Linked DNA regions of Nothobranchius furzeri. The protein of the gene in region 1 purifies or fractionates together with the protein of each later gene. This does not show direct contact. Links are inferred from orthologs where the notes say so. Each region holds a gene or a part of one and is shown on either strand. Other genes may lie near its edges.

Evidence for each region.
Region 2: the proteins of bccip (region 1) and eif6 purify together in Homo sapiens (affinity purification with mass spectrometry; 3 studies listed by BioGRID and IntAct, counting the BioPlex papers as one, with this or other methods). This does not show direct contact. The link is inferred for Nothobranchius furzeri from reciprocal best matches to the Homo sapiens genes BCCIP and EIF6.

The regions. Positions count from the first base shown.
Region 1 is NC_091756.1:42,757,232-42,772,226, forward strand, and holds bccip (protein BCCIP homolog), read left to right. Parts: upstream 1-6,775; coding exon 6,776-6,916; intron 6,917-7,038; coding exon 7,039-7,113; intron 7,114-7,186; coding exon 7,187-7,267; intron 7,268-7,353; coding exon 7,354-7,440; intron 7,441-7,519; coding exon 7,520-7,707; intron 7,708-9,917; coding exon 9,918-10,086; intron 10,087-10,201; coding exon 10,202-10,372; 3' UTR 10,373-10,884; downstream 10,885-14,995. Other genes in the region: mmp21 (matrix metallopeptidase-21), read right to left, coding at 921-1,093, 1,168-1,425, 1,500-1,641, 1,721-1,860, 2,186-3,017, 3,127-3,273; uros (uroporphyrinogen-III synthase), read right to left, coding at 3,867-3,989, 4,078-4,176, 4,260-4,345, 4,478-4,561, 4,660-4,734, 5,262-5,336, 5,439-5,535, 5,636-5,719 and 2 more. UniProt on the Homo sapiens protein: During interphase, required for microtubule organizing and anchoring activities. During mitosis, required for the organization and stabilization of the spindle pole.
Region 2 is NC_091743.1:78,237,976-78,253,021, reverse strand, and holds eif6 (eukaryotic translation initiation factor 6), read right to left. Parts: upstream 9,193-15,046; 5' UTR 8,990-9,192; coding exon 8,883-8,989; intron 8,812-8,882; coding exon 8,726-8,811; intron 8,644-8,725; coding exon 8,468-8,643; intron 8,375-8,467; coding exon 8,198-8,374; intron 8,126-8,197; coding exon 7,941-8,125; intron 6,316-7,940; coding exon 6,306-6,315; 3' UTR 6,028-6,305; downstream 1-6,027. Other genes in the region: microtubule-associated proteins 1A/1B light chain 3A, read left to right, coding at 1,079-1,134, 3,661-3,767, 4,062-4,224. UniProt on the Homo sapiens protein: Binds to the 60S ribosomal subunit and prevents its association with the 40S ribosomal subunit to form the 80S initiation complex in the cytoplasm. Behaves as a stimulatory translation initiation factor downstream insulin/growth factors.

The DNA.
Region 1 (14,995 bases):
GACTCTAAAAAAGGTGATAAGAATATCAAACTAAGGCCCGTTGACACCGTGCATTTTCGGCAGTTGCAAAGGACTAATTCGTGTTTAGGGTTAACTGTCTAAGTCCTAGAAAGGAGGCACACTACACACCCCAACACTTTGTTGAATCAAATTCCCTCTATAGTATAGGACACGCCACAGTTATGAGCCCACACCACCAAAAAGCATACGCCAACAAAAGTCGACAGATACCAAAGATGTCAACAATGAAAGAAAACAAAGCGCCACCATTAAAACTCCTTTTATTAGACATCAAATGGAACTCCAAAAAGGACTGCTCCACCTGTTGTGCGTGGCCTACTATTGCATTTTACTCTCGTCAATAGTTTCTCGTGTCACTCCCTAGGTGTATTTTCATTGGTAGATTGAAGAACGGAGTCATAGATTTTCTGACACGACTTAAATACCATTGGAGGTAGAATTTGGCTTTGAGAGTGCTCAGTAGGCTGTTGATGGAGCGGTCACACTGGATGGCCACAGACCGATGACAAAAGATTTCTCTACGACGGACAGAAAACGCAGTTTGAACAGGGTTAGACAAGCGAGCCTTGCAAGAATGTATATTTTCCTACTGCTTATAACAGTGGAAAGCATCAGGAAAGTGTAATGGTTAGTGCTTGTGAGATTCTTGCTTGAGAAGGGTTTGGGAGGCAGAATGACAAAAGAATTCTGATGGAATAAAACTTGCAAATCCTTCCCCATCCCTCTCTGCTGTGCTTTAGCTCTGCCTCTAAAGCCCCGCCTCCTCATTCACATACAGGAAAGTAGCTACAGCAAATGTAGAACTGGCAGTAACCGTTCCAAAACCTACTAACACTTTTCATTCAGATTTCAGGCTCTGAACTATACATGTGAAAGAAACACTAATAAGTTATTTTTACTTTATCACCCTTGAAGAAGTAGATACAGGAGTCCCTCCTGTCATAATAAGCTGTACTGATTGGACTGGGCACACCTGGGAAACCCTCAGAAATCAGCTTTGGATACTGCTGTCCTTCTGAGTCTTGTCTGAAAACCTGGTCGTTCTCACTGTCATATCTCCAGAACTGTGTGCCTGTAAAAAAAAATGGAACGACATCAACTAAAAACAATTTATATTTTCAGAAAATTGTACAACTATCAATCTACCTTTGAAGAAATAAACATAATCTTTCTTTCTGGACCACACATGCACATATGCATCTACTCCATCACTGGGAAGCCCATGCCAGCCGATCTGCAGAGCAACCGGATCACCATATCGCGTTCTGTTGTTTCTGTTCTCGTACAGCCAGTACAAACCATCTCTCATGAAGTATGTGTTGAAGCGGATGGTCACATCCCCATAAGGTGTCTTCTCCTTTCTGATCCAGTCAAACACAGTGTCAAATCTACCTCTACACGCACCTGGAGTCAAACACATACATTTATAAAGATGGTCCAGATTCTCGGTGTGTATCCAGCAGATGGTGATGACGTACCGTAAAGATGCTGTATAGCTTTCCTGTCCATCCAGTCCATCTCAAAACTTGATTCATGGGGCAAATAGCTGGGCTGCATGATAGATCCAGGTCTGTAGATGTGGGGTAGGCCCAAAACATGGCCTATTTCATGAACCGCCACCTAAAAATGAAAAGCACCGAACCTCATTCTTCTTGATCATTTTTTTGTCTCTAATTCAATCCAGCACACCTACACTTACCTTAAGGAGGCTGATTCCACTGTGAGAGTTGGGAGCAGTGAAATGCTCATCATCATCAAAGTGTATATCACCAAGGAACCAGGCATGGGCAAATTCTTGCCCATTTCCGTCAAACCTTTGATTGCATCCCAAATGCCTTCCTGTATGCAGACAAATGATGAGTAATAAAACTCTACAACTGGCATTACATACAACTGAAGCCTTCTCAAGTCTGGTAACTGTCACTGTGCCAAAGTGTACTTTTGGTGAGCAACAGCAAAAACACAAAGCACTGAACCAAAATTCAACTGTCCCAATTATTTTGCAACTTTGCAGACAAGCACACGCGCGCACACACACACACACACACACACACACACACACACACACACACACACACCCACACCCACACACACACACACACACACACACACACACACATTTTCTAAACTCCAACAAATGAAAGATGTGTCCTCTGAAGCCTACCTGTGCCAAAGCCCAGCCTGATATCAACATCCTCCAAAGGTGACCTAATATCTTCAATAAACTCCAGTGGTGACACCTCACTCCACATCCTGAAAGCCAGTCTGAAGATGTACCTTTGCTCCTCGATACTCAGCTGACTGCTGTAGCCTTCTCCGATCAGCCGCCATTTTAGTACACTCTTAGAAAAAGCAATGAAACCAGTTTGATCCAGGTCTCTTCTCTGCCGCCTTTTTGACACCAGACTGGAAAGGTGGCGCTTCCTGCGTCTAACTGTGTCACTCAGACTTGCGTTCATACTAATTTTCCCCATCTGACCATCCAAACCACTGAAACTGGAGCTGTTCCTGTTTGTATCATTTGAAATACCCACGAGAAGAGTATCTGTATCATTAAAATTGAAAATGTCATCATCAGAGGAATTAGAGCTGCTGATGCCTGTCTCATTAAAACTGTCACTCAGACTGTCTTCGGTATCTGGTCCATCAGTGTTCTCAGGCTCTACGTAGGCGTCAATCTCCTTGTCGGGGACTCCACACCTCGGTTTGTTCATCGCCTCCTGGGTGGCCTCATCAAACACCCCTGTAACAGGCAGATCTGAAACTCTCTGGAACTCTTTAAGTGCTGAAATAAATGCTTGATTCCCAGTTTGGCTCACATGGACATCATGAGTGCCACTTCCGGGACCATCTCTTGAATGAGGCACTGAGGTCCCCTCCTGAATTTTGGCTTGTAGATCATCCAGGATGTCTTCACTGAAATAAGTGTCGGAGCTCTCCGTCTGGATCTCCTCCCAGTTAATCGGCTTGATGAATCCATATCTAGAGAGAAATAACTAAAGCAAGACCCAGAGCTGGCTTGTTTATTATTATAGATACAATTGGTAAAAAACAAACAAACATATATTTATACATATACACACACACACACACATTATAAATTACCTCGGCTTTGTATTCATCTGTAATAACAGGAGCCTGGTGAGTTTTAAGGATCTGAACATCAGAGTGATCCCGATTATGGAAAAGTTTCTCCGCGTTGTTTGGGATGGTCAGAAAGAGCAAAGCAATCAGCTGGATGGAAGTCAGCATCGTGCCGTTAGTTTTTACTAACAGCAGGAGCAGCACTGCTTTATAAGCAAATGTTTCTCCACACCCATCTTAGAGGAGGGACTGTCTGGAGGTTACACTTTCCTCAGTTGTGCGTGAAAAGTAAACTCATCAGTTTGACCAACCTCCATGTCATTCATGCTGCGATGATTTCAACAAACTGTCACCAAGCCGTGGACACCTTCACTTTCATCTGAGCAATAAAAGATGTAAAACACTTTTGCCAACACCTGCTTACACACACACACACACACACACACACACACACACACACACACACACACACACACACACACACACACACACACACACACACACACACACACACACACACACACACACACACACACACACACACACACACACACACACAGAAATGTTTTACGCAAGATTTGTCAAACTGATTAAGGTTTATTTTCAAAAATAATTTAAAATACATTTTTAATCAAATCTGAGATGAAAGAAAAATGGCTAAACTACATTTTTCAGTGCAAAATCAAGAAAAGGGCATCAAAACAATGACAAAAAAATCCCAAAACAATGAGAAACAATAAAAAGTGTATTTGTCTGGTTGATTACTGAAGAGCGTCGGCTATCGCTGCAGCCAAGTGTTGAGCTGTTGGTTGTTCTGCTGTGCAGCTGACACACAGACCCTCTGCTGCCATAGCATCTCGTGTGGTGGGCCCTATGGCTGCAAACTGGAAACAGAATGAGCGCTGAAGACCTGTGGCATGCTCCATAATCATCCATTTCATATATTTTTGATTGACCATAAGGAAACTTTACCTTAATTTGCGTCAGCTGTTCACCTGACAGCCTCCTTACAGCTTCCAGGCAAAACTTCACCCCAGACGGACTGAAGAATCCTACACTCCCTGGAATACCCTAAGAACACAAAAGCAAATAAACACTGGTTATATATGAAAATTATGTTTTTATCAAAATAAAAGAGGAGTTGGGAGTTTCACCTGCTTTGTGAAGTAGTTTTTTAGATTCTTCTCCAGATCTGGATGTTCAGTAGTTTGATAGACAGTCAGAGTCTCCAGGGGAACCCCTGGAAACAAAGAAACACATCCCCAATGTGACAAAGGTAGTGCAATTATTATTTTGTTAATTAGCTTAACCCCAGAGGGTATTTCGCCGACCTGAGCTTTAATCGTGAGACACAAAAGAGGGAAAATCTTACCATTTTCCCTTAAAGCCGTGGGCAAGACTTCTCTTTTAATTGAACCACAGGGGAAGAAAAGTGGTGGGATATTTTTTTCCTCTCCTAAGAAATGAATCAAATATCACTTCATTTCAGAGATTAGAACAATTAAATGATTATACAGAGGTGTAAAAAATGAGAGAACAAAAACCACATCGTACTTTCGATGATGAGACGTGATAGGACGTCTGCTGTCCCCGTGTCCTCACCCTCGGGCTCCAGACCCAGGCTCTGTACTGAAATCATAAAAAGCACAAAGATTATAACAGAAATGTTTAAAAAACGGGTTTTTACAGGTCTTGTCTACGTATGTAAAAAAACATTCTAGCTATTTTTAAATCACAACAAATGAGTGATTCAGGGCGTAAGGCAAAGCATATTAGAATACAGCTCTTATAGCCCCATCTACTTGCATTTATTTTTTCTTAGAGACCCATGAGCCGACTGGAAAAGGAGGAGACTTGGGCTTCCTACAATCAAACACTGACAATGGAGTCAGCTGCCACTAGACTAACAAGGTAAAACCAACATTAGGAAGGTTTTACACTTGATTGGTGTCTTCCAGATCAAATCCAGTTTCTGTGGTTCACAGCTTACTGCCACTTGTGTGTAACAGCAAACTGAAGGTAGTTACACTACTTTACGCACATGTATGAACACCAGGTGCTCGTCACACCCGGCTGCATCTTTCACTAGTTTATAACGTGCACTATCCATAAAAACATCTAGAAAAAAGGTGTCTGCAGGTGCTCTAAGAACTCACCTAAAGCTGCAGTAGCCTTCCCAACCACATAGATGGATTTCCTGTTCCATTTGTCTTTCAATGATTTGTTCCACTCTGGATGAAAAATATTGTTTTACAAATAATATTATTAAAATTCTCAAGCAGAATTGGCACACAGACACGCTAATGCTTTAATCATGCTTGTTTCATTTTGACCTTGTTTCCTATCTTTATCTTCCAAGCACAGCTTCACAGCTTCCACCGCTCTTGGACTAGTGAATATCAAGCCACCGTGTTTCTCTGGTTGAAGAAGCTTATGAAATAAATACATTAAAATGATCAGTGGTTTACACGTGCAGCCATAGAAAGTTAGGTAAATGACACACTGGTTCAGATAATGTTATTTAATTTACCTTATCTGACAAGGTGTTTGCTGAGATAAACTTAAAAGACAACACTGGAATTAGGGTTGCTTTGTGCCCACGTGATTCCAGCTCCTGTAGAGTAAAAAGCATAGCAACAAAGCAGTGTGTGTTTAGTTAAAACCACGTCATTGATTTGGTTAAACTGTTTCTACCTTAATGTAAGGATCAGGTCCAGACTCTCCATCTCTGGGGTCTTTAAGAAGCAAAACACGCATCCTGTCAATGAATAAAAGACAGTTCAACGGAGCCAATAACACAAGGTGGGTTTTGACATCTGTTAGAAAGGTATCAGCTGCTTTCAGAAATTTAAAGTAGTTAAATCAGAGGGTGTGGAGACTTAAGTAGCTCAGCTACACCCAGAAACGGTCACATGCAACCTACAGATAGCAACACTGTTGAGTCACGATCCCTGAATAGGAAAGATTATACACTAAACTATTATAAACTAACAATAACGTCAACTTGTATCGTAAAATCCGCTTTAGCGTAGTTGGGCACGTCGGTCTGTTGTTGCGGTCTGTCTGTTGTTGTTGTTGCAAAACACACTGACAGATTAGCCACGATAACGTTCCAGTTTAACCAAAAATACGTCGATTTTCAGCTATAAACGTTAATAGTTTTTGTTTAACATTAATTGCGCAATTATATTTGCAACAATATGCGGTTGGAAAGACGAAATAACTGCATAACATCGACATATATACATGCATAAGAATGAACACCTTCAGCTGTTCATCGGACGACTTCATTGGCATTTAAAAATAAGATGTCCAAAAATTGCCTGTCGATAAATGTCTCCCCAAATCTATGTAAAATTAGAAAATGTTTTATATTTACATTTTAAACATTTAAATAGGTCATCTAATGCAAGTTAGTGTTTATGTCACATATTTTAGAGACATATTTTCTATTTTATTCCAATATATTATTTACAACGTTTTCCCCAGTGTTAGGAAATGGTTCAGTCGCGTGAGCCAACATGGAGTCGACGTCTGTTCGGATCTTCTCGGGTGTACGCCCATTCCACAGTCATTTTGAGCCAAAATGGCGCCCGAACGTGTCCAGTTTCCTGCTATCCGTTAACCTTAGCAGCGCCTACTTAAATATACACGGGTTTCACGCTTGATCATGGCCTCATCCGCTAAGAGGAGAGCAGTGGGTTTGGGTGAGAATCCCGAAGAAAGCGACAACAGCTCGGATGAGAGTCCGGAGGATGACGGCGAGTCTGGAGAGGACGACAGCGAGGCGTCAGAGGAGGAAATCGACGAGGTGGCTAATCCACAAAACCCACGTGGCCTTTCTACCCGCTAGCTAGCATGTCCGTGATGTTATCATGAAGACATAATCATTTTTGGTTTAAAATGCATATTTTTTTTCTTCTCTACTTGCAGGAGGTCGTGGTGGATTTTGAAGCCCATGCGATTTCAAACAACGACTTCAGTGGCATTAAGAAGCTTTTGCAGCAGGTGCAGAACTGTGTGTTGTTGTCACATAAGCGTCACGAATAGTTGTCACTAATCTTTACTAGTTTGGACTCAGCTGTTCCTGAAGGCGCGTGTAGACACAGCAGAGATGACGGACATCATCATCCAGCAGAATCATATTGGGAGCGTCATCAAAGTGAGTCGTTTTTTTCCAGTCCCAAACTTTGAGGCGCTGCATTTTATCCCCTGTTCTGATTACGTTCCTCCTTCATCTGGTTCTAGCAAGCTGAAGTTCCAGAGGACAGTGATGATGATGACCCGGATGAAGTCTTTGGATTTATTGCTATGCTCAACCTCACAGAGAGAAAGGTAGGTAATCTCTGAAGATGAGTAAAATACGTGAATTTTTAACTTAATTTTGAAGGTTGTGGCTTTTCTTTTTTTTTAGGGCGTGCGGTGTGTGGAGGACATCAAGGAGCTGATATTGGATCAGTGTGAGAAGAATGCTTCTCACAGTGTGACTGAACAGCTGGAGCAGATCTTAAATGACACAAGCAAACCTGTGGGACTTCTGCTGAGTGAGCGCTTTATCAATGTGCCTCCACAGATCGCCCTCCCTCTGCATACACAGCTCCAGTGAGTGCTTCTTTTGCTGCCCAGTCTAACCACTTACAGGCTCCTATCAACAAATAATCACCAGAGAGAATAAGAAGTTCCTCTGAAGAACAAAAAAGAAACAGCACTACAAGAACATTGTGCCATCCATCCATCCATTTTCATCCGCTTATCCGGAGTCAGGTCGCGGGGGCAGTAGCTTAAGGCGAGAGGCCCAGACTCCCCTCTCCACAGCCACTTGGGCCAGGTCTCCTCCGGGGGAATCCCAAGGCGTTCCCTGGCCAGGTGAGAGACATAGTCCCTCCACCGTGTCCTGGGTCTACCTTTAGGTCTCCTCCCGGTTGGACGTGCCCAGAAAACCTCACCAGGGAGGCGTCCAGGAGGCATCCTGGCCAGATGCCTGAGCCACCTCAACTGGCTCCTCTTGATGTGGAGGAGCAGTGGGTCTACTCCGAGCCCCTCCTGAATGACCAAGCTTCTCACCCTATCTCTACGGGAGAGCCCAGCCACTCTTCGGAGAAAACTCATTTCGGCCGCTTGTATCCGCGATCTCGTTCTTTCAGTCACTACCCAAAGCTCATGACCATAGGTGAGGGTAGGAACGTAGATCGACCGGTAAATCGAGAGCTTTGCCTTCTGACTCAGCTCTCTCTTCACCAGGACAGACCGGTACAACGCCCGCATCACTGCAGATGCAGCACCAATCCGCCTATCGATCTCATGCTCCAGTTTTCCCTCACTCATGAACAAGACCCCGAGATACTTAAACTTCTCCACTTGGGGCAGGACCTCATCCCTGACCTGGAGAAGGCATTCTACCCTTTTCCGAATCAAGACCATGGTCTCAGATTTAGAGGAGCTGATTCTCATCCCAGCTGCTTCACACTGCTGCGAACTGCTCCAGCGAAAGCTGAAGATCACGATCTGATGAAGCCAACAGGACCACGTCATCTGCAAAAAGCAGAGACCTGATCCTCAGGCCACCAAACGGATGCCCTCCACACCTTGGCTGCACCTAGAAATCCTGTCCATAAAGGTTATGAACAGAATCTGTGACAAAGGGCAGCCTTGGCGGAGTCCAACTCTCACTGGGAACGAGCCCGACTTACTGCCGGCAATGCAGACCAAGCTCTGACACCGGTCATACAGGGACCTAACAGCCCCTATCAGAGGGCCTGGTACCCCAGACTCCCGGAGTACCCCCCACAGGGCCCCCCAAGGGACACGGTCAAACGCCTTCTCCAAATCCACAAAACACATGTAGACTGGTTGGGCAAATTCCCACGCACCCTCCAGGATCCCCCTAAGGGTATAGAGCCGGTCCAGTGTTCCACAGTCAGGACGAAAACCACATTGCTCCTCCTGAATCTGAGGTTCAACAATCCAACGGACCCTCCTCTCCAGAACCCCTGAATAGAACTTACCAGGAAGCCTCAGGAGTGTGATCCCCCTGTAGTTGGAACACACCCTGCAGTCCCCCTTTTAAATAAGGGAACCACTACCCAGGTCTGCCAGTCCAGTGGGACTGTCCCCGATGTCCACGCGATATTGCAGAGCTGCGTCAGCCAACACAGCCCTACAACACGGTGCCAGAGACGGAAAAAAAGTAACTCTCAGAACTTAAAATAATATCCATCAACATTGACATTTGTCGTAATGATCATGTGCACATGTGGGTGAAACATTTATTCTCTACATAAAGGTGCAGTCAAGTAGAACATGACCTTACTTTTGACGGCAGATCTGAATGAATCTGTCATAAAATAGCTCCAGTCTCAGTAGGATGTGTTTATATATGAAAGCAGTTTATTCATGGATCGTCACAGACCCTAACATCTACAGGCTCTGCCAGATGAATTTTCATAGCTTTATTAATGCATTTGTTGAACCTGCTGAGATCTCTGGTGCTGATGCTGCTGCCCCAGAAAACTACAGCAAGCACATAGTTCAAAAATTACATGAAGTTAAATCTGTCCTTATGACGTTTCTCAGTGCAAGAAGAAAACAGCTTTTGCCTAAAATAAATGATTAAACACTAACCTTCTTTGGGATCTGTGGGGAAAATCAATGAAATGAAACAGTGCCTCAATACATTTAATTCTGCAAAACTAAAAATAAGTTTGGTGATTTCAGAGAAATGGCCAAGCCCAAATTAGTATTTTCATGCTAACTGAAATGGCTTAAATATCTCCCAAGCTTGTTGATGACTAAATTCATCATGTCCTTTTTAGGAAAGAAATGGCTGAAGCTCAGAGAACCAACAAACCCAGTGAGAAGTGTCATTACTGCCTGATGGTCAGCAAGACGTGCAAAGAAGCTGCCAAGAACGTCCCGGCCAGAGGAGGAGCTCCTAAAGAGGAGTACATGTTTGTCAATGCCGAGGAGGAGTTCTTTTACGAGGTGAATGCTCTCTGTTTAAATACGTGATCACATACAGGGGAGTTTATATCAGTAACTTGAGCGTTTTACCTTCAAACTGTTAATAATAATGTCTTTGATGGGTTTGTTGTTGCAGCAAGCCATCATAAAGTTCCACTACTCAGTGCAGGATGATGCAGACTCGTGTTTGAGTGGCAGGTGGTCGTTTGACGACGTTCCCATGAAGCCATTCAGGACGGTGATGCTGGTCCCCGCAGACAGAATACCTGCAGTTATGGACAAACTGAAGGAATACCTGACAGTCTGAGACATTTCAGGACACGGTGAAGACCTGCAGCCTCATCAGTTGATCAAAAGCAGGATTACTTTCAAAAGTGTCCGTTTTAAGTGGGTTTTGTTTAAAAATGACTACAAACTGTCAATTAATTGTAAATGCAAAGGGCAGCTGTGTACAATTTGTCAGGTTTAGACTTAGTCTGACCCTTATGAGCTTTAAAATGACCGTTTATGATTTTGGTGTCTCCACTTGGATTAAAATGATGTCAAAGCGCTCTGTTTGAACACAGATTCTTCTGTCAGGTTTCAGTCTCTTTTATAATAATCCATTATCAGAGAAAGGAGTGGAGTTTATCTTGTTAAAGTATTTTTGTGGGTCACAAGTCTTTTGATCAATCACAGTCAAGGAGACAGCAGGCCAAACATTTAGATGCTGCAAGAGTGGTGTTCAATAGCCTGTTGCCCATTTAACAAGTTTGCCATCTGAAAAGTTGAATGTTGCATAAAGACTTTTAACGTGTAATAAATTGGTAACCCCTTATAGTTTGTTTCAGCTCACTTGATCACACTTCAGTCCCTGCTGCGCAGCTGCTGCTTACATCACTGCGGATCGTTTCTCTGTGTAGGGTTAGGGTTACAAACAGGACCTGCTGTTTGTCTCTACTCTCACTAGGAGGCAGCATTTAGAAGAAATGCATTAGTGCTATTTGAACCTGAAAATCATACCAACATATAAAACGTGAAGTCGCTACTGCACATAGAGATCACAACAATTGAGGAATAAAACAAATTAGCATTATCAAGGAATTCAGAGTAAGTTTAAAAACTACAAATATAAGTGGAAATGCTAATCCGCTACAACTGATGAATGAACTCACACGAGGGGAAACTTTGGTTCCAAAGCAGGGTCACGATATGGGAAGCTCAATCCTGATCAGGGTGTCCAGAAAATAATCCTGACACCACTTTCAACTCAGATCTGTCAGTCATTATGAGACACTTCAACCAAAGAACAAAACTTAATGTTTATTCTAATATCTATTCACATTGAGTAAACTAATTATTATAAGTCAGATATTTAAAGCTACAGATTGCTGTGAATGGATGAGGATGTACACTGGAGTTTTTGGCTTTGAAGGTGTAAACATGAGGGTGAGGTGATCCCCCTCAGCACGCTGGAACATTCTGGGGCACTGAAACGCCTTTTGAGTTGTGCCGGTGCAGGAAGCCATTTGGTTCTAAAGGACAAGAACCAACATAAACTATAAGTACAGCTCATTCTGGCTGTGAAGTCAAGATGAACTTAAGGGGCCAGACTGACAAGATGATCCTAATTTTGAACAAATTTCCATCATTGATGCTGGAAGCTTGTTCAGCTCCTATGCCTATGCCTGCATGCGGCTCTCCAGATCTGACGGTAAAACCTTGTGAGGGTAAAAGATTAATCCCTTTTTGTCTTTTGCCTTATAACAAAACTGAACACTTATTTGTTTTTACTCTTGTCTTTTTCATAAAATATGTTCCTGACTGTTTTTTTTCTTCTAAATGTATATTGTTCTCTTTTAACATTAACCTGCCAGAGGACTGCAGATGGAAATTAGCCTAAGGCTACAATCTGGCATATTTACAGTTGTAATGCTGTTCATAAATATGCATTGTCTTTTCTTTAAATGAAGTAATTAAAATAAAGATAATTTAGACCAATAAAAGACTATTGCAGCAAAGTGAGCAACATTTAAAATACATGACAGTATGTTTGGCTTGTACTTCCACTTCTTATAGTGCTGCATTAAACTAGATGTGTTGTACAATCTTTAATGAGCTGGCCTCTTTTCTGGTCCTGTTGGACTGGGTCAAACTCCGACAATAGTAACTCGCTGAGCTGCCAGCTCTGCTAAAGCATGGATGGCTGAGCCCAAATAGCCACACTACAAATTTATTTCTGGTTTTTGGGCCAACACACTTTCAAAATGCACCTCTTGACTGTGAGGAGATGCTATTTCTTGGAACAAGAAACATAGCTTACATCAGTAATGGTGTAGAGAAAATCTGTTGTAAATTCAGAATGTTTGTGGCAAATTCAAGCTTGTTTATGTCACTAGTGTAAATATTCAATCTTGCTTATGCCACTGGTGTAAAGATCAAGCTTGTTTATGTCACTAGTGTAAAGACCAAGCTTGTTTATGTCACTAGTGTAAATACCAAGCTTGTTTATGTCACTAGTGTAAAGATTCCAGCTTGTTTATGTCACTAGTGTAATGATTCCAGCTTCCATATGTCACTAGTGCAATGATTCCAGCTTCCTTATGTCACTAGTGTAAAGATTCCAGCTTGTTTGTGTCACTAGTGTAAAGATTCAAACTTGCTCATGTCACTAGTGTAAAGATCAAGCTTGTTTATGTCACTAGTGTAAAGATTCCAGCTTGTTTATGTCACTAGTGTAAAGATTCAAACTTGTTTATATCACTAGTGTAAAGATTCAAACTTGTTTATGTCACTAGTGTAAAGATCAAGCTTGTTTATGTCACTAGTGTAAAGACCAAGCTTGTTTATGTCACTAGTGTAATGATTCCAGCTTGTTTGTGTCACTAGTGTAATGATTCCAGCTTCCTTATGTCACTAGTGTAAAGATTCCAGCTTGTTTATGTCACTAGTGTAAAGATTCAAACTTGCTTATGTCACTAGTGTAAAGATCAAGCTTGTTTATGTCACTAGTGTAAAGATTCCAGCTTGTTTATGTCACTAGTGTAAAGATGTGAGCTTCCTTATGTCACTAGTGTAAATATTCCAGCTTGTTTGTGTCACTAGTGTAAAGATTCAAACTTGCTCATGTCACTAGTGTAAAGATCAAGCTTGTTTATGTCACTAGTGTAAAGATTCCAGCTTGTTTATGTCACTAGTGTAAAGATCAAGCTTGTTTATGTCACTAGTGTAACGATTCAAACTTGTTTATATCACTAGTGTAAAGATTCAAACTTGTTTATGTCACTAGTGTAAATATTCAATCTTGCTTATGCCACTAATGTAAAGATAAAGCTTGTTTATGTCACTGGTGTAAAGATCAAGCTTGTTTATATCACTAGTGTAAAGATCAAGCTTGTTTATGTCACTAGTGTAAAGACCAAGCTTGTTTATGTCACTAGTGTAATGATTCCAGCTTCCTTATGTCACTAGTGTAAAGATTCCAGCTTGTTTGTGTCACTAGTGTAAAGATTCAAACTTGCTCATGTCACTAGTGTAAAGATCAAGCTTGTTTATGTCACTAGTGTAAAGATCAAGCTTGTTTATGTCACTAGTGTAACGATTCAAACTTGTTTATATCACTAGTGTAAAGATTCAAACTTGTTTATGTCACTAGTGTAAAGATTCAAACTTGTTTATGTCACTAGTGTAAAGATCAAGCTTGTTTATGTCACTAGTGTAAAGATCAAGCTTGTTTATGTCACTAGTGTAAAGATTCAAACTTGTTTATGTCACTAGTGTAAAGATCAAGCTTGTTTATGTCACTAGTGTAAAGATTTGAGCTTCCTTTTGTCATTAGGGAACGTCCAGGCTTTTAAGAATAGGCTCAAGACCCACCTTTTTAGCTTAGCTTTTAGCTGATTACCATCTATCTAGTCTGTTTATGTCACGGCGTGTGGGCGAGGTGAGCAGAGGTGAGGTGAGGCGAGGATCCAACGCGGGTGAGGAAACCAGGCAGACAGGTAAGAACGTTTGAACATACACACGCAGGCCAATGAAACAATGACCCAACAAACTACAGAGAACAGAAGGGGTTTAAATACAGGAGAGTAAGGAGCTTGGGTGATTGGGAAAACGAGAAGCAGGTGGGAGTAATTAACGAGACACAAGGCTGAACCAAACAGGGAGACAGGACAGGGTGTGACAGTTTAACTGAATCGTCTGTCATATTTGTTTATATATATATATATATATACTCACACACACACACACACACACACACACACACACACACACACACACACACACACACACACACACACACACACACAAATTTATCTCTTTTATTTCATTTTGTCATTTTATTTACATCTTAGTGTTTTTACATGATTATGTTTTCTTTTACTATCTTTATAATCACTTTTATATCAGTTACTTTTTATCCATATTAGGTTTTGTTATTTTACAGTTATGTATTTTAATCCTCCAGTGTTTCCACTGCCTTGGGGCCGGTGGTCGGCGGCGGCGGCCGGGGCGCTCCTCGGGTAGTGCCCGGGCAGTGGTGGGGGTTTCTGCCCTCCCCCACTGGGTGTCATGGGCCGGTGTCTTGGCTGCTGCCGTGGATCTGTTGCTGTCAGGTCAGATGGCTCCGCTGATTATGTGTCATTCATTACCTGACCCATCTGAACTCAGCCTATTGTTTCCTCTGTTGTTCACGTGTGTGTGTGTGTGTGTGTGTGTGTGTGTGTGTGTGTGTGTCTGTGTGTGCATGGACGAGTGTACGGGTGATTTTATGTCCACTTTGGAAGTTGGGTGTGGGAGGGGAACCGCAATTGTCAATTGTTTTATACTTGGGGAGGGGGGCTGGGATGGGAATATGGGATCTATGGGGCCATTTTAATCTGTGAAGCACTTTGAGTTGCATTTTTTTTGCATGAAAAGTGCTATATAAATAAAGTTGATTTGATTTGAC
Region 2 (15,046 bases), on another chromosome or scaffold:
TGAACGGACCAGCTGTCAGTGTCAGAAACATGAATATCAAAGCAAGGTGAGAACTATGTAGATGAACACCTGGAACGGGTTGATAGAAAGCTCTAAAACTGGAGTTTCACCTGGAACACCCTAACATCTCTGACTGGAACCACAGGATGATGTCATCAGGAAGAGACCCATCCGGCCAATGGCGAAAATGATAACCACGATTATTTTGGTTGATGCAAATATATCGCGGGATCAGGTCGCGAGGCAGTAGTCTAAGCAGGGAGGCCCAAGCTTGAAATCAGGTGTGTTGAAACTGGGAAAACACTAAAACATGTGGGATAGTGGGCCTTGAGGACCAGAGTTTGACACCCATGCTAAGGTCCAGAACGTGGTTATGATGGTTTCATTTAGAAATGAGTTTCATCCATCCTCTTCCGTTTATCTGGAATCTGGTCATGGGGGGCAGCAGCCTAAGCAGGGAGCCCAGACTTCCCTCTCCCCAGCCACTTGGGCCAGCTTCTCCGGGGAATCCCAAGGCGTTCCCTGGCCAGCTGAGAAACATAGTCCCCTCAGTGTGTCCTGGGTCTTCCTTTAGGTCTTCTCCCAGTTGGATGTGCCTGGATAACCTCACCAGGGAGGCGTCCAGGAGGCACCCCAACTAGAAGCCCGGGCCACTTCAACCGGCTCCTCTCGATGTGGAGGAGAGGCGGGTCTAGTCCGAGCTCCTCCCGGATGACTGAGCTTCTCACCCTATCTATAATTCCGTTTATTTATAAAGCGCCAAATCCCGACAAGTCCTCTTAAGGCGCTTCTCAAAGTAAACATTCCAATAGTTCAGTTCATTAATGCAATCAGTAAAAAGTTTCCTATATAAGTAACCCAGCAGGTTGCATCGAGTCACTGACTTGTGTCAGAGACTTCACAGGAAGAAACCTCCAGAGGATCCTGGATCAGCATAAGCAGCCATCTGCAGTGACACACGGAGTCGAAAGCCTACCATCCAAAATGGCTGCAATATGGCCACCAATCCAAAACACATCTTCTCTTGTTGCTGTAAACTTCCTAATCTCATCATGCTGTCTATTTGTTTTGTCGACAGCTGATCGATGCAAAGAGGTCCAGCAGATCCGAGAGCAGCACCCAAACAAGATCCCTGTAAGCTGCACACGCACGAACCTGGGGGGTAGTCCACAAAGCGAGTTTAGAACATCGATGCCTTCCTGATAAATGCCTGCCTAACAAAGTGCATCTGTGCACTCAAGGATCTGTCGGTTCCACCGACTATGCTCAGGTGGATTCAGTTCTCTTTAATTCAAGTGAACCTCACAGGCAGCCTCTGTTAATTGATGCTGGATAACTGAGAAGGGAAGCAAAGTGTTTTGCTCTTCTCTTAGACGGAACATTCATGCCCACGAGGACTATCTGAACTAAAACAGAGACCGCCAGCTGCTTGGTTATAGCCATGTATCTGGCGCTATTTAAGCCGAGCTTATGCTTCTGAGTGTGCGTCGGTACCAAGGGATCAAGGCCGCTGGCTTTGCTCCAGCATGGAAGTACCAAAAATTACAGTTCCACCCTCATCCGCTAGGGGCTAGTACCAAAACAGAGCAAGTTCCCTTTGACTCCCATGTTAAAAAAGCCAGTTTCACAGCATAAATAAACACATTTACAGCCTGGTTCAAAAAGCCATTCTAGGTTTGACTGATCTTTCTAACATTTATGACAACTCTGAGGGGGTGAGTTATTTTATAACTCTTTGACTGTAATTAAATGCTTGAAATTATGAATAATTATTGAGCACCAGAGCTACAAGCTAGCTCTAGGAAAGGCCTCATGTTAATGGACGTTCGGCCATTTTGACTCTGAACTTTAGCTGTGTCCTCTGTGGGTTTGTGCTTGGATGTAAGGGACAGCAGCAGCTCAGGAGGTAGAGTGGGTTGTCCAGTAATCGGAAGGTTGCAGGTTCAATCCCGGCTCAGACCAGAGAATTCTGTCATTGTGTCCTTGGGCAACACACTTAACTCGCCTTGCTGGAGGTGGTCGGAGGGACCGGTGGCGCCTGTGTTCAGCAGCCTCGCCTCTGTCAGTGCGCCCCAGGGCAGCTTTAGCTACGATGTAGTTCATCACCACCAGCGTATGAATGGGTGAATGACTGTGTTGTGAAGCGCCTTGGGGGGTTGTAGAACCCTAAGGCACTATACAGATACAGGCTATTTACCATTTAATCATCGGATTATTTACCATACCATACCATACCAATTTTATTTATATAGCACATTTAAACACGGCATGAGAGCCGACCAAAGTGCTGAACAAAACACACAATAAAAACAATCAAAAATAAAAACTAAATCCATTAAAATCAAGTAATCCAACCCTAAAAGGAAAGGTAGAAAGGGAATAAGTTAGACAGAATTAAAAGCCAGAGAATAAAAGTGAGTTTTTAAACGAGACTTAAAAAGGGAAAGAGAGGAAGAGAGTCTGATCGGGAGGGGCAAGTGGTTCCAGAGCTTCGGTGCACAAACTGAAAAGGCGCGCTCCCCGCGGGACTTACAGCGAGAGCTAGGGACATGTAGGAGGTGTTGGTCAGCTGATCGGAGAGATCTTGTAGGGACATATGGGTGAATGAGCTCAGACAAGTAGCCAGGTGCTAAGTTATTTAGGGATTTAAACACAAAAACCAGGATCTTAAACTCTATCCGGAGATGGATGGGGAGCCAATGAAGATTTGCTAAAACCGGTGTGATGTGTTCCCGCTGCCTGGTGCCAGTCAAGAAACGAGCTGCTGCGTTCTGCACAAGCTGAAGTTGAGCGAGAGTGGAGGAGGAGATACCGTATAGCACTGAGTTAGAGTAGTCGAGACGGGAAGTAATAAATGCATGGACAACTGAATGAAGATGACGCCTTTTTAAAATGGGCTTAACTTTAGAGAGACGCCTCAGGTGGTAATAACAGATCTTAACTACCTGGTTGACATGAATGTCCATTTTTAGTTTAGCGTTCATCACAACCCCTAAGTTTGTGACACGGTTTTTCAACCCACTTGTGATAAATGGAAGGGTCAGTTGGGGACTTTGAGAAGTACCAGGGCTGAAAATGATGGCCTCTGTCTTAGCGTCGTTCAGCAAAAGAAAGTTTTCTGACAGCCAGCTCTTCACATCATTACAGCATTCAACAAGGGGCAGTAAGGAGTCATTAGGCTTCACAGAGGCATATAATTGGCAATCGTCTGCATAAAAATGGTAATCAATGTGGTGTTTTTTAAAAATGTCACCCAGGGGCAAAATATATAAATTAAATAAAAGGGGTCCAAGAATAGAGCCCTGGGGAACACCACAAGTCAAAGCCGCAGAGGGGGAGGCAGCACTACCCATCATAACATTAAAGGTGCGGTCACAGAAGTAGGACCTAAACCAGTCTAAGGCAGTCCCCTGGATTATTTGGACACAGAGGGCAAGCTGCGGTTGCTGACGGCACTAACAGGTCATCCAAGCAGTTTCTGCTTCTTTTTTATCAGCAAGTAAAATTATTTTTCTGTACTTTATTTCCCTGATTGAAGGGGGGGGGGGGGGGGGGGGGGCTGTGAATTTAACATAACACTGCTTGGTCAAGGATATTTGAGAGCTCTCCAACAGGCTTGCAAGGCACAGTCTGTTAAACGTCGTGGTTTCATGTGTGCAGGTGATCATCGAGCGGTATAAGGGTGAGAAACAGCTGCCAGTTTTGGACAAAACCAAGTTCCTGGTACCGGATCACGTCAACATGAGCGAGCTGGTGAAGATCATCAGGTAAACTGAAACCTGTCTGCCGAGTGGCCTGTTGGGAGGCTCAGCTTCTCTTGGATCATTAACATTGTCTAATATTTCTTATCTCTCATCATAAATTTGGGCAATTTTGATTACTTTTACTTCCCTGCATTTCCAGGGGGGTTCTGTAAAATCCCTTCTTATATATTGGAGAATTGTGTGCAATTTACCTCCGTAAACGTCTCTGGTTTTGGTAAATGAAAACTTTACCTCACAAAGTTATGAATCTACGCCATCAGTAAGCCGTTACCCCTCGTTTATTTTCTGGTTTGCTAGGCGTCGGCTGCAGCTCAACCCCACCCAGGCCTTCTTCCTGTTGGTCAACCAGCACAGCATGGTGTCGGTGTCCACCCCCATCTCTGAGATCTATGAGCAGGAGAGGGACGAGGACGGCTTCCTCTACATGGTCTACGCCTCGCAGGAGACCTTTGGCTGCTAGGAGGGAGGGGGCAGAGCATTTTCAGGTGGAGGGAAGACAGATGAAGATTTCACAGGAAAAACCAACATCCCCTCCTTAAGCCTAGATCACACTGTGCGATTTGCGGCAGATTGTTCATGTCGCATTGTGAGAATTCCAGAACTGTGCCACACGGCACGGAGCAAGATTCCTGTGAGGCAGACTGCATGACGTCTCGCTCCAGCAGGACACGCGGCGTCATGAGCGCAGACCACTAAGCAGACCGCTAGCCAAAAGAAAGCTGAAAAGATCAAATAAAGCACCGCGTTAACATTTCTTTATAGAGTCAGCTCATGACCCAGCGCAGCTTCCTGTGTCCCCCTGCAGCTAAACGCTACTGAACCATCCTTATTGGTTGAATATGTGAGATTTCCACCAACAGAAAAGGGGTTTTATGTTTTTGTTTTATTTTTTGTTCTTGTGAGCTGCTCTCGTCTCACTCTCACAAAATTAGATTTCACAATTCAGCTGATGGTCTAAAAATTAGTTTAATTATTTTTAGCTTAACTCCGGTTTAGCTTGGGCTATTAACAAAACTAAAAACTGGGGTGTCGTTTATAATCCGCATTTTAAACAAGTTTAAACTGCTTCTGGTCGGTTGCAGACAGGAGTCGTAGGATGAATGCTCGTAGACTGTCGGAGGCCGTCTTTGGCTGTGAGAAGGCTCAAAAAGCCGTCGCAGAGCCCTGCAGACCGGACCACCACAGATTTGCAAATCGCCCTCACGTTCAGCTTTTTTTTCACACGATTATGCTCCCGAAGAGGGATTTGGCTAAGACGGTCACAAATCGCACAGTGGGATCCGAGCTTTAGATTAGGTCGGACACCAGAGGATTTCCTGTTTGTGCTTTTATTTTATCCACTGCTGCTCAAGTCCTCTTATTTTGGAGGAATCCTACAAACTAAGCCGTACCTTTAGTTGGTAAGAACGATTCGTTAGTTCTCATCATGAGTCAAGTTAAACTCAGCACAGGTGCGTCCTGCATCAAATCCATCATTTCAGCTTTTTTGTTTTTCAGACCAGTTTACTGATCTAAAGTGCAATATTTCCCAGTTTAGTTCAGACCTGATCACACACACCTCTGTAAGCACAACAGCACGTACTCACATGCTGACTTTAAAACAACCTGGTCTGGTGACCTGGACTCTGAACCGGATGTGGTCAGTGGTTCTGAAACGCATCATGAGAAAGGGGCGGGGTCACAGGACACTAGTGTGTGTGTGTTGAGATGCACTGGCTCTAACAGACCCCGTAGAGCTGGATGTCGTGGCGCCCCCTGCTGGTGTACATAATCTTTACAGCAGCACCAAGTGGAGCTAAAACGAAATCTGAGCTTCTTTTGCACATTAATTAAAAATAACTGTTAGAATAACAATTATGCTTTTGTTTTCTTCGTACAACAGTTTACAAATGGACTTGTTTTCTTTTACATATAAATGTGTATTGGTTTTAATTTACAGGTGTTTTAATTGAATGTTAAACTTTTTAGCCGTTTCCCCAAACCAAAACTGTTCCTTAAAGCTTCCTGCTGGTGGCGCTGTTGTGGCGTACATAAACAGCTTTTGCCAATAAATAAAAAGTTGCCTTTAAAGATTTGCATCCTTTCTTGTACCTGAACACAGGTGTTCACCTGAAGGAAAGAAATTAAAAAAATAAACGTTCTGGTTTTTAAATGATCACCAGAATCAGAACTCCTTCCTGTTGTTCTGGTTCTGTTCAACAGATTCAGGAGCAGCGGCTGCTGGAGCGACCCTGCAGCTTCTCTTCATAAAGAACTCAACAGATAAGAGTTTGGTTTTATTGTACAGAAAGCATCCCCGTAGTCTGATTTCTTACATTCAAAACACAAAAACCTGGTGAGAAACAAACACGAGTTCTCATTCGCCAGCTTTCCGAGGAATCCCAGGAGCTCGTTTTAAGTCCGGTTTAGATCCTGGGTGACACGCAGCAGAACCCCAGACCAGGCTCTAGGCCTGGTTCTTCTGCTCAGGGACAACGGGTGTTTGTGGCTGCAGCTAGGTTTTACATCTGGTCCTCCCAGCAGCGGTCAGAGGCGGCAGCTTTACGCCATGCTGAGAAACAAGCAGAGAAAATGCCGTCGAGTTAATGGAGCATCTTCAGTCGGTGACAGGAAACAGGAAGGAGACACTGCAGCTGCAACATTCACGCTTTTATACAGAAGCCAGAGTAAACTTAGCATGGAGTCACTAAACCATCAGCAAACTGGGGCCAACAGCTTGTTTTCTTCAGCGGTTTAGTCACAACGAGTCTTTGTTCTGGTCTCCAGCATGTCCCACAGTTGTCTCAGCAAGTTCAAACTCGGACAGTTTTCAGGATTTTGTTGCCTCTTTCCCCCGCACTTACACTTGGACCAGGGACATTTAAGCTAAGGTAAAGTCTCTCATCACCACACACTGGTGGAGTTACATCTAGATACCTGACCCATCCCCATGGGGGGCGGCGAGCTGCAGCTGGTATGACCCGACCGGGTTTGAACCCTGATCTCCTGGTCCCAGGGTGAACACTCCACTAGGCTACTGAGGAGGTTGAACCTCGTATCACAACCAGGGGCGGAGCTTCGGATGGGCAACGGGCCCCAGCCTAGACTTGGGAGGGGCCCGCCCCAATATTATCCGGCCAGCTGCTAAAATGGGGAACGACCTCTTCTGTTTACTTGCTCCTGAAATGTTACTTCACCTCCGATATTTCAAAATAAGATTCTCTCCGCTCATCTACTTGTTCTCCATCCTTAATACAGTTCTTGATCGTCTGTGCCCACCCTGCCCTTTCATTTGTGTTGCTGGTTTGACGTGAGCACGCTCCACGCTCTCCGATCCTGCATTTAAGTCCCGCCCCTTGCTTTATACACAGTTTAAATATCAGACTCCAAACGGGAGACTGTCCATAAGGCACGACACCGACTTTTCTCCTATACTTTGGACTGTCTCTCATGAGAAGCTCACCCGAAACACCGCAGCTAGACAGGAAGAAGCCAGTGGCTTTTCAAAATAAAATAAAATTTAAATGTTTCATCATATTTTAATTCATTTCTAACTATGATCATGGTTAGTATAAGTGCGCAGTTATAGACTGTATATTTCACGCTTTACATTGTTTTACAATAACGTGAGGGGTTACGATTTGTTAGGGTTTGACTTTTATGTTGAAGGGGGTGTTCTTGGCTGGAGAGTTCTGGTTCGGTTGTTTAGAAAGAGAAAACGAGCTAGTGTGAACATGTTAACATTTTTTACTGGCAGTAAGGCGTGGGCCAACAGTAGCCTGGAATAAAATCCCAAACAGAACAAGTTGGAGTATCTTTAAAAAATCTAATTAACATATATTCTATAGGTCTGGTGGCTTTTTTTTTGCCATGGTGGTGCGACACAATCAGTTAGTGTAGACTTTTATTTTGACGAACATCTAGCAGGAGAAATGCCCATTAAGGCGTTTCTGGGTTAGGTGGTGATCGGAGGGACCGGTGGCACCTGTGCTCGACAGCCTCGCCTCGGTCAGTGCGACCCAGGGCAGCTGTGGCTACATCGTAGCTCATCACCACCACCGTGTGAATGTGAGTGACTGGGTGAATGACGGTGTTGAAAAGTGCCTTAGGGGATTCCAGGACTCTGGCAGGCGCTATCTCAAATGCAGACCATTCGACACGTTTAAAACCTCTTGTCAGACTACACGGTTCTGGTACCTGTCGATCAGCGAGTCCCTCATGCTGGTGGCGATGGCGGACGGCTGCATCGTGTCACTCAGCTTGAAGACACTCTCGATGACAGACAGCTCGGTGCTGGTTGTGTCCAGGCCGCAGAACGCACACCAGTCGTTCACCACCATCCCCGCAGCGATAACCTCGCTGCCTCGGTTTACGGTACCTGCCTGGAAATGAGCAAAGTTCTGAGTAGAGGACCCACCTGGACCCAGACTCCACATGCAGACACCATCACTCACCACCAGGGGGACCTGCAGCAGGGACGACAGCTCGTCCTGGTCCTCGATGGACGTCTTCGGGTGGACAAGGCCTCCCTGGTTGCTGAACGCACAGTAGGAACCGACCAGAACCTGCTCGGCTACAGTCTGACGGAAGACCTCCACCTTCAGCGTGTCTGCAAGGATCTCCTCCGTCTCCTGAAAGAAAACCAGCGTTAAGCCGACAGGCAGCCTTCACCTGGTCTACATCTTCACTGGTGGCTCCAACGGGACAACTTCCGTTCGCCTCACCCGGTCCAGGTCGGGGTGAACCAGAGCCACATAATCGTTACAGGTGACGACATTCCCCAGGGCAGAAAGCCGCTCCTCGACCCTCTGGATCTTCACCGAGTCCGGGAGGCTGTTCCTGATGTGCTGCAGCTCCTGGTCTGTTGTGTTGTTGGGCACCAGGAGGCCATGGCGGTTACCTGCTCACAGGAGGAGGAGGATGAAGGTACAGAACCGGGTCGGAACCAGCAGAACCACCAGAGAACGTGCTGTCCCACTCACCCACACACATCCTGCCGATGATCCTACAGCCTGCGATGGAGGCGTGAACCACCGGGATGGTTTCTGATAACTCTCCTTCAAACACGCTGCAGACGCACAAACACGACACTGTGACGTCACGTTTGTTTTAGAGTAGTCCGTGACGTATCACACTCACCTGTAGAAGTTCTCTGAACCGCCAATGGCCACCAGGCAGTAGGTGTTGGTCAGTTTGGCGAAGCAGCCGACTTCGTTGTTCTTCTCAAAAGAAGCTCTGACCGCCATGCTGAGGACCGGAACCAGCGCGGGTTCTAGCAGAACTGTAGTGGAGATCCGAGCGGAGACTTCTCTAAACGCGGCCTAATGCTAACTTTTAGCTCCACGTGAGCGTAAACAGACCCAAACGCGCCTCGCGGACTCCCGACACGCGAGGAAGCTTCTAAGTTCTTCCTCCGAGCTCACGCGATGACTTCCGCTGCCTGGTTAACGTGGTGACGTAAGACGCTAGTAGGTGGGCACTGGGCAGTCTGGACGTCACGTGATCGTTCCTTTGATGACGTCAGGACGTCACGTGATCTCCCTAGTCTTTATGACACCAGCGGTAGCTCGCTCAAGCACACGGAACAGGTCAGTCGCTGCTCAGAGAGTCTTGTAGCAAGATGCTTTTTTTACTCGCAGGCGTCCTTTTTGGAAACTATTTTACTGAAACTGTTAGACAAACCTTTGATTATTTCTTCGAAAAGCAAGAAAACAAAGAATTTGATGAAGCTTTAGAAAAATTATTCCAGTCAGTGTCTGGAGACAATTTTATCATCGGACCTGAACCCAGAACCAACTCTGACAGAGAAACTACTCTATTTACTTCTCACGGTGAGGGGAGGGTTTCTGAATGTCCAGGCAGAGAGACACCTTACAGCCATGGAAACAGAGATTTACAAGAAATCTCAGTCGCTTATCCTGGGAGAGATGAATCTCAGATTTCAGAGCTACATTTCCCTGAGGAAATGGGAGGTTGCCTGTCTGAATCCCTAGCCAGCCCCACAGAAACACCGGATGCCCAGAAAAATGACCAACATTCACTTATTGACCCAAAAAGAGAATTCTCTTCTCTGCTGGACTACGGTGCATCAGGTAATGCCGGCTGTAAGACTGCAGAAGCGTCCAACCATGAAAATATCAGAAACTTAGAAGGAACAGTTGTCACTTTAACGGGATGTCTCTGGAAAGATGAATCCCAAGTTACAGCTGTTCCAGATGAGAAATTTGCCAAGGCTCACGAGGAAATCAACCAATATGAGTCTGACGATTCACAAAACAGATATTTCTTTGATTCAGAGCCTGATGAGATATTTTCCTCTGATGGGAGTGCCAGTACAACTTCCCAGGAGGAATCAGGAACAGATGAAGAGAAATTCTTGTTAGTTTCAGAGAATGGCGCTGATTGTGTCCCTGTAACGTCTGAAACACATAAAGCAAATTTGTTTGAAGCAGCAGATGTTCGTGAGTTGTTGCCGTTTGATGAAAGCAGAATTCAAGCTTTCCATTTTTCAAACTCAAATTTAGGACAAACTGAAGACGAGATACCAGCTTCACAAAAAAGTGATGGGAAAACGAATTTATTCGATCAAGAAGATGATTCTATTCAGTTTTTGTCTTCTGAAGAATTTGCCTCTGAAACAAGAAACACGTTTCTGGCTTCACAGGAAATCTTTGATGACAAATCTGTCTCTTATGAAGACGTCAACGTGGATTTGTTTGGTCAGAATCCTGACAATCTTGAGCTGTCTTTAGATAAAAGCGACCCTCAAGTTTTATTCCATTTAAAGGAAAATTTCAAGCTAAAAGAAGCAGAACTCGTAAATCTTCTGGATGGATTAGGTCAGGATGAAGCATCATTCGCTCCACACACAATAGAAGATTACTGCTCCATCACTTCTGAAGACACTCAGGATCTGCTAGAGTCACAGGGACATTTAGGGGCCGCAGAAACTGAATATTTTGTTTCAGAGGATGAATTTAGTGAGGAGGAAACATCAGCTTCAGCCGACGATGATGTTAAACCAAATATGTTTGAAAATGTATTATCTTCAGAGGAATCTGAAGCTGAATGTTTAGTTTCAGAGGATGAATTTAGTGAGGATGAACTCAGTCAAGATGAAGATGCTTTGGATGAAGGAGATGTTGAAACAAATGTGTTTGATCTGGGTGACGAGACACTTCAGATCGGGCCTCTTGATAAGGACAGGACAGCGACTCAAAGGGCCCTAGCTTCACAAGAGAGTTCAGTTGAAGGAGAGTCGGTAGCTGCAGAGGACAATAAACCTTCTTACAAGCCTGCAGACAAAGACTTTTGTGGATATGAACTCGATCTCTCTGTGCTGCAGAAGTCAGATGTTTTCACACCTGAGTATTGGTCACTTGTAAAGATTTGTGAACAATTTAGTGCTAACCTTTCATCTTCACACAATAGTGATTTTGACTTTTCCAGCTCTTATTCTGAAAGTGACGATGACGATGATTTGTCACCCAGTTTAACAAAGCTGGATAAGACTGTCCTTCCCAGGATGTCCCTTAGTAAGACATCACCCAGTTTAACAAAGCAGGATAAGACTGCCCTTCCCAGGATGTCCCTTAGTAAGACATCACCCAGTTTAACAAAGCTGGATAAGACTGCCCTTCCCAGGATGTCCCTTAGTAAGACATCACCCAGTTTAACAAAGCTGGATAAGACTGTCCTTCCCAGGATGTCCCTTAGTAAGACATCACCCAGTTTAACAAAGCAGGATAAGACTGTCCTTCCCAGGATGTCCCTTAGTAAGACATCACCCAGTTTAACAAAGCTGGATAAGACTGTCCTTCCCAGGATGTCCCTTAGTAAGACATCACCCAGTTTAACAAAGCTGGATAAGACTGTCCTTCCCAGGATGTCCCTTAGTAAGACATCACCCAGTTTAACAAAGCTGGATAAGACTGTCCTTCCCAGGATGTCCCTTAGTAAGACATCACCCAGTTTAACAAAGCAGGATAAGACTGTCCTTCCCAGGATGTCCCTTAGTAAGACATCACCCAGTTTAACAAAGCAGGATAAGACTGTCCTTCCCAGGATGTCCCTTAGTAAGACATCACCCAGTTTAACAAAGCTGGATAAGACTGTCCTTCCCAGGATGTCCCTTAGTAAGACATCACCCAGTTTAACAAAGCTGGATAAGACTGTCCTTCCCAGGATGTCCCTTAGTAAGACATCACCCAGTTTAACAAAGCTGGATAAGACTGTCCTTCCCAGGATGTCCCTTAGTAAGACATCACCCAGTTTAACAAAGCTGGATAAGACTGTCCTTCCCAGGATGTCCCTTAGTAAGACATCACCCAGTTTAACAAAGCAGGATAAGACTGCCCTTCCCCAAAACAGCAACGGGAAATCGTTTAGATGGGCAGATAAATTTGGACTTCATTTGTGTAAAAAGAAGTTATTTAAAAAAATTTATGAAATTACCCTGTCCAGCATGTCACCCAGTAAAATCATATGCAGTATCCTTAAGCAGGATAAGACTGCCTATCCCAGGACTTACAGCTATAGGCTAGGCAGCCTATGTGCTGGTTTCACAGTTTTGATTTTTATTTTGCTTTTATTGATTTTGCCCTGATTTTACTCATGTTGTACAGCGCTTTGTGATTTATATCTGTGAAAGGCGCTCTATAAATAACCTTTACTTATTTACTTACTAGTATTCCTGAATCAATTCCACCAGAAAAAAGACACACATCGGTCCCATCTGGAATAAACGTTAAACTGAAGCTGAAATGGCAGCAATTTAAGAACAGAATGAAGCTTAAATTTGAGTGACTTCTGAAAAAAATCTAACTTAGTCCGGTGTTTATTTGTTTATTTGAATGCTGAAAGTGTTCATTGTTAGTTTTTAGATAAATTAGAAAAGCATTTCCATCAAGGGTGACTATCAATCACGTCCCTTCCCTGGCACACAGCACCACCACGTGTACCCAATAATCTGTAAAAAAAAAAAAAAAATGCAACACAAGGATTATGTCACAGAAAATATTCTTCCGAATAATTTTTGTGTCTCTTTGTGCTGCATGGGGGGTTTTCTCTGGGAGCTCCAGTTCACCCCCCACCCCTAAATCCTGATAGATCTGCTCAGATATTTTACGAGGATAAAGCCCCTTGAGATGAAACATCTGGTTTTTGAGAGGGACCTCCTTAACATACAACAGAAAATTAGAAAACCAGTAGAACAGATAAGTATTCGAGAGAAATATATAAATAAACTTAGATAAATAATCAAGATAAAAAACTAGATAGATAAATAAAGTTATGATATGTGCTCTCTTCGCTCAGCTAACCAAGATTTGCTCATCGTCACAAAAACAAGAGTGAAAGCAAGATGTGATGTGGCCTTTTCTGTCCTAGCTCCGAAACAATGGAGCAGGCTCCCACTTGTTGTCAAACAGTCCCCATCTCTGCAGGTCTTTGAGTCATTTGAAGACTTATTTTTATCGCTTGGCTTTTATGTAATATGGATTTTTAGAATTTTAGTCTTTTATCGTATCTGTTTTGTTATTTTAGTTACTCTTTTATGCAGTTTTAATCTGTCTTATAGTCTCTTTGCTCTTTTGTTGTTTTGATGTTATGTTCAGCACCTTGGGCTTCTGTAAAGGCAGTGGAAGGTGCTATACAAATAAGATTTGATTGATTGAAATATTATTTCTTCACACTCTCTGCCATAAGTCAGCACTAATGTATGATGGCAGGAGTGGGTGAAGCTGTATTCTTTGAGTAAAACCAATAGTGTCTACAGCCCAGTCTCAACACTCGCACCGTGCCCTGCGGACTTCAGCTAAGTGCACTTGGGAAAAGTGTGCAGCAAGGCTTCAAGTGCGTAGTACACAAGTGTGCAAATAATTTCAAAATTGAGATAGGGAGTATTGTGTCATCGATTGCAACGCATGCCGCGATGCTGGTCGCTGTGATAATATTTTCAGAAACCTTTATTAACAACTTTTAAACAAACTCCCAAACAGTTATTTGAAATTAATTTCAGCAGAAGCTTACAGTTGTGCTTTGTCATAAAGTAGTCCCATTTGAAATGATGCCTGTGATAGATTCACTTGCAGTCAGTCTGAATATTTAGGTCAACAAGCAGAAATGGGATCACAACTGAACTTTTTTTACTTACAATGCTAGTTGGATCCATTCACTTACTGTGTTTGATGCTAAGCTAAAGCTAAAGGAGTACAGCCAGGTTAGCAGAATGACTGGACTGGTTAAATTAGTATTTTTTCCCCCGCATCTAACTCTGGAAAATATGTCAACAGACAAAAACTCAATTTTAATATCCCTTTAAATAGTCAAAATTCAATCATTGAATTGTCCATGTAGACCACAAGACCTTCCCATGACACTGAATTAAAACTAGTAGATAAGAACAAAGATGGAGGAATGACCTTTTTATATGCTGTCTTTGTTTACAGGATCTACTTTCTTTACTGTGTACTTGTACCTGCAGCACAGAAGGTACATCCTGAGATGCTTCCTAAATTTCAGGTCTCTGACGCCTTAGATTATTAGGCTCAAGAAACAAGGCAGAAGGTAGACAATAAGATAATTTGCTAATCTTATTTCCTGAATCCGGCCTGGAATGATGATCTGCAAGACAATCTCCACACTGGGGGAGATGTAGGAGAACATGCACATGGCCAGCTGGACACCGTGAAGGAGAATTGTGTTTCTGGCCTTCTTAGCTGACATTTTCTCTGTTGAGAGGGCTCTCAAATAGGAGGCTTGGGGAGAAATTATGACACTTCTCTAAATAAAGTAAAATTTTCTGGTGCAGAGTGGAAACAACCCATAGAAGCACTGATTTGATCTCATTTCAGAGAAAAATAGAACAGGTTAGATGCACCTAATAAATAAAATTACTAACAAACTCAGGAATCTGTTTCTTTGCTTCACTGTTCTGGTGCTGAGAATATCACTAATGCGGATCAAAGGAGATACACAGATGAATGCACCTCTTATTTATTATTTGGAAACTACATTTACTGCAGTATAGCATTTATGGATATGGAAATCACCAGGCAGACCGACGGGACCCTAAACATAAACACATACAGGAAACCAACACAAAGACCAATATCTATTGTGGACATCAGAACACCCCACCATACACAAAATGTCAGTAATCAGAGCATTACATCACCAAACAAACATAATTACAGAAGAAAGAGAAACAAGAGGACAAACACATACAATACGCTTTAAAGACCTGCGGATACCCGACATGGGCAATAAACAAAGGAAAACGGCAAACAAAAACAGAAAGAAAA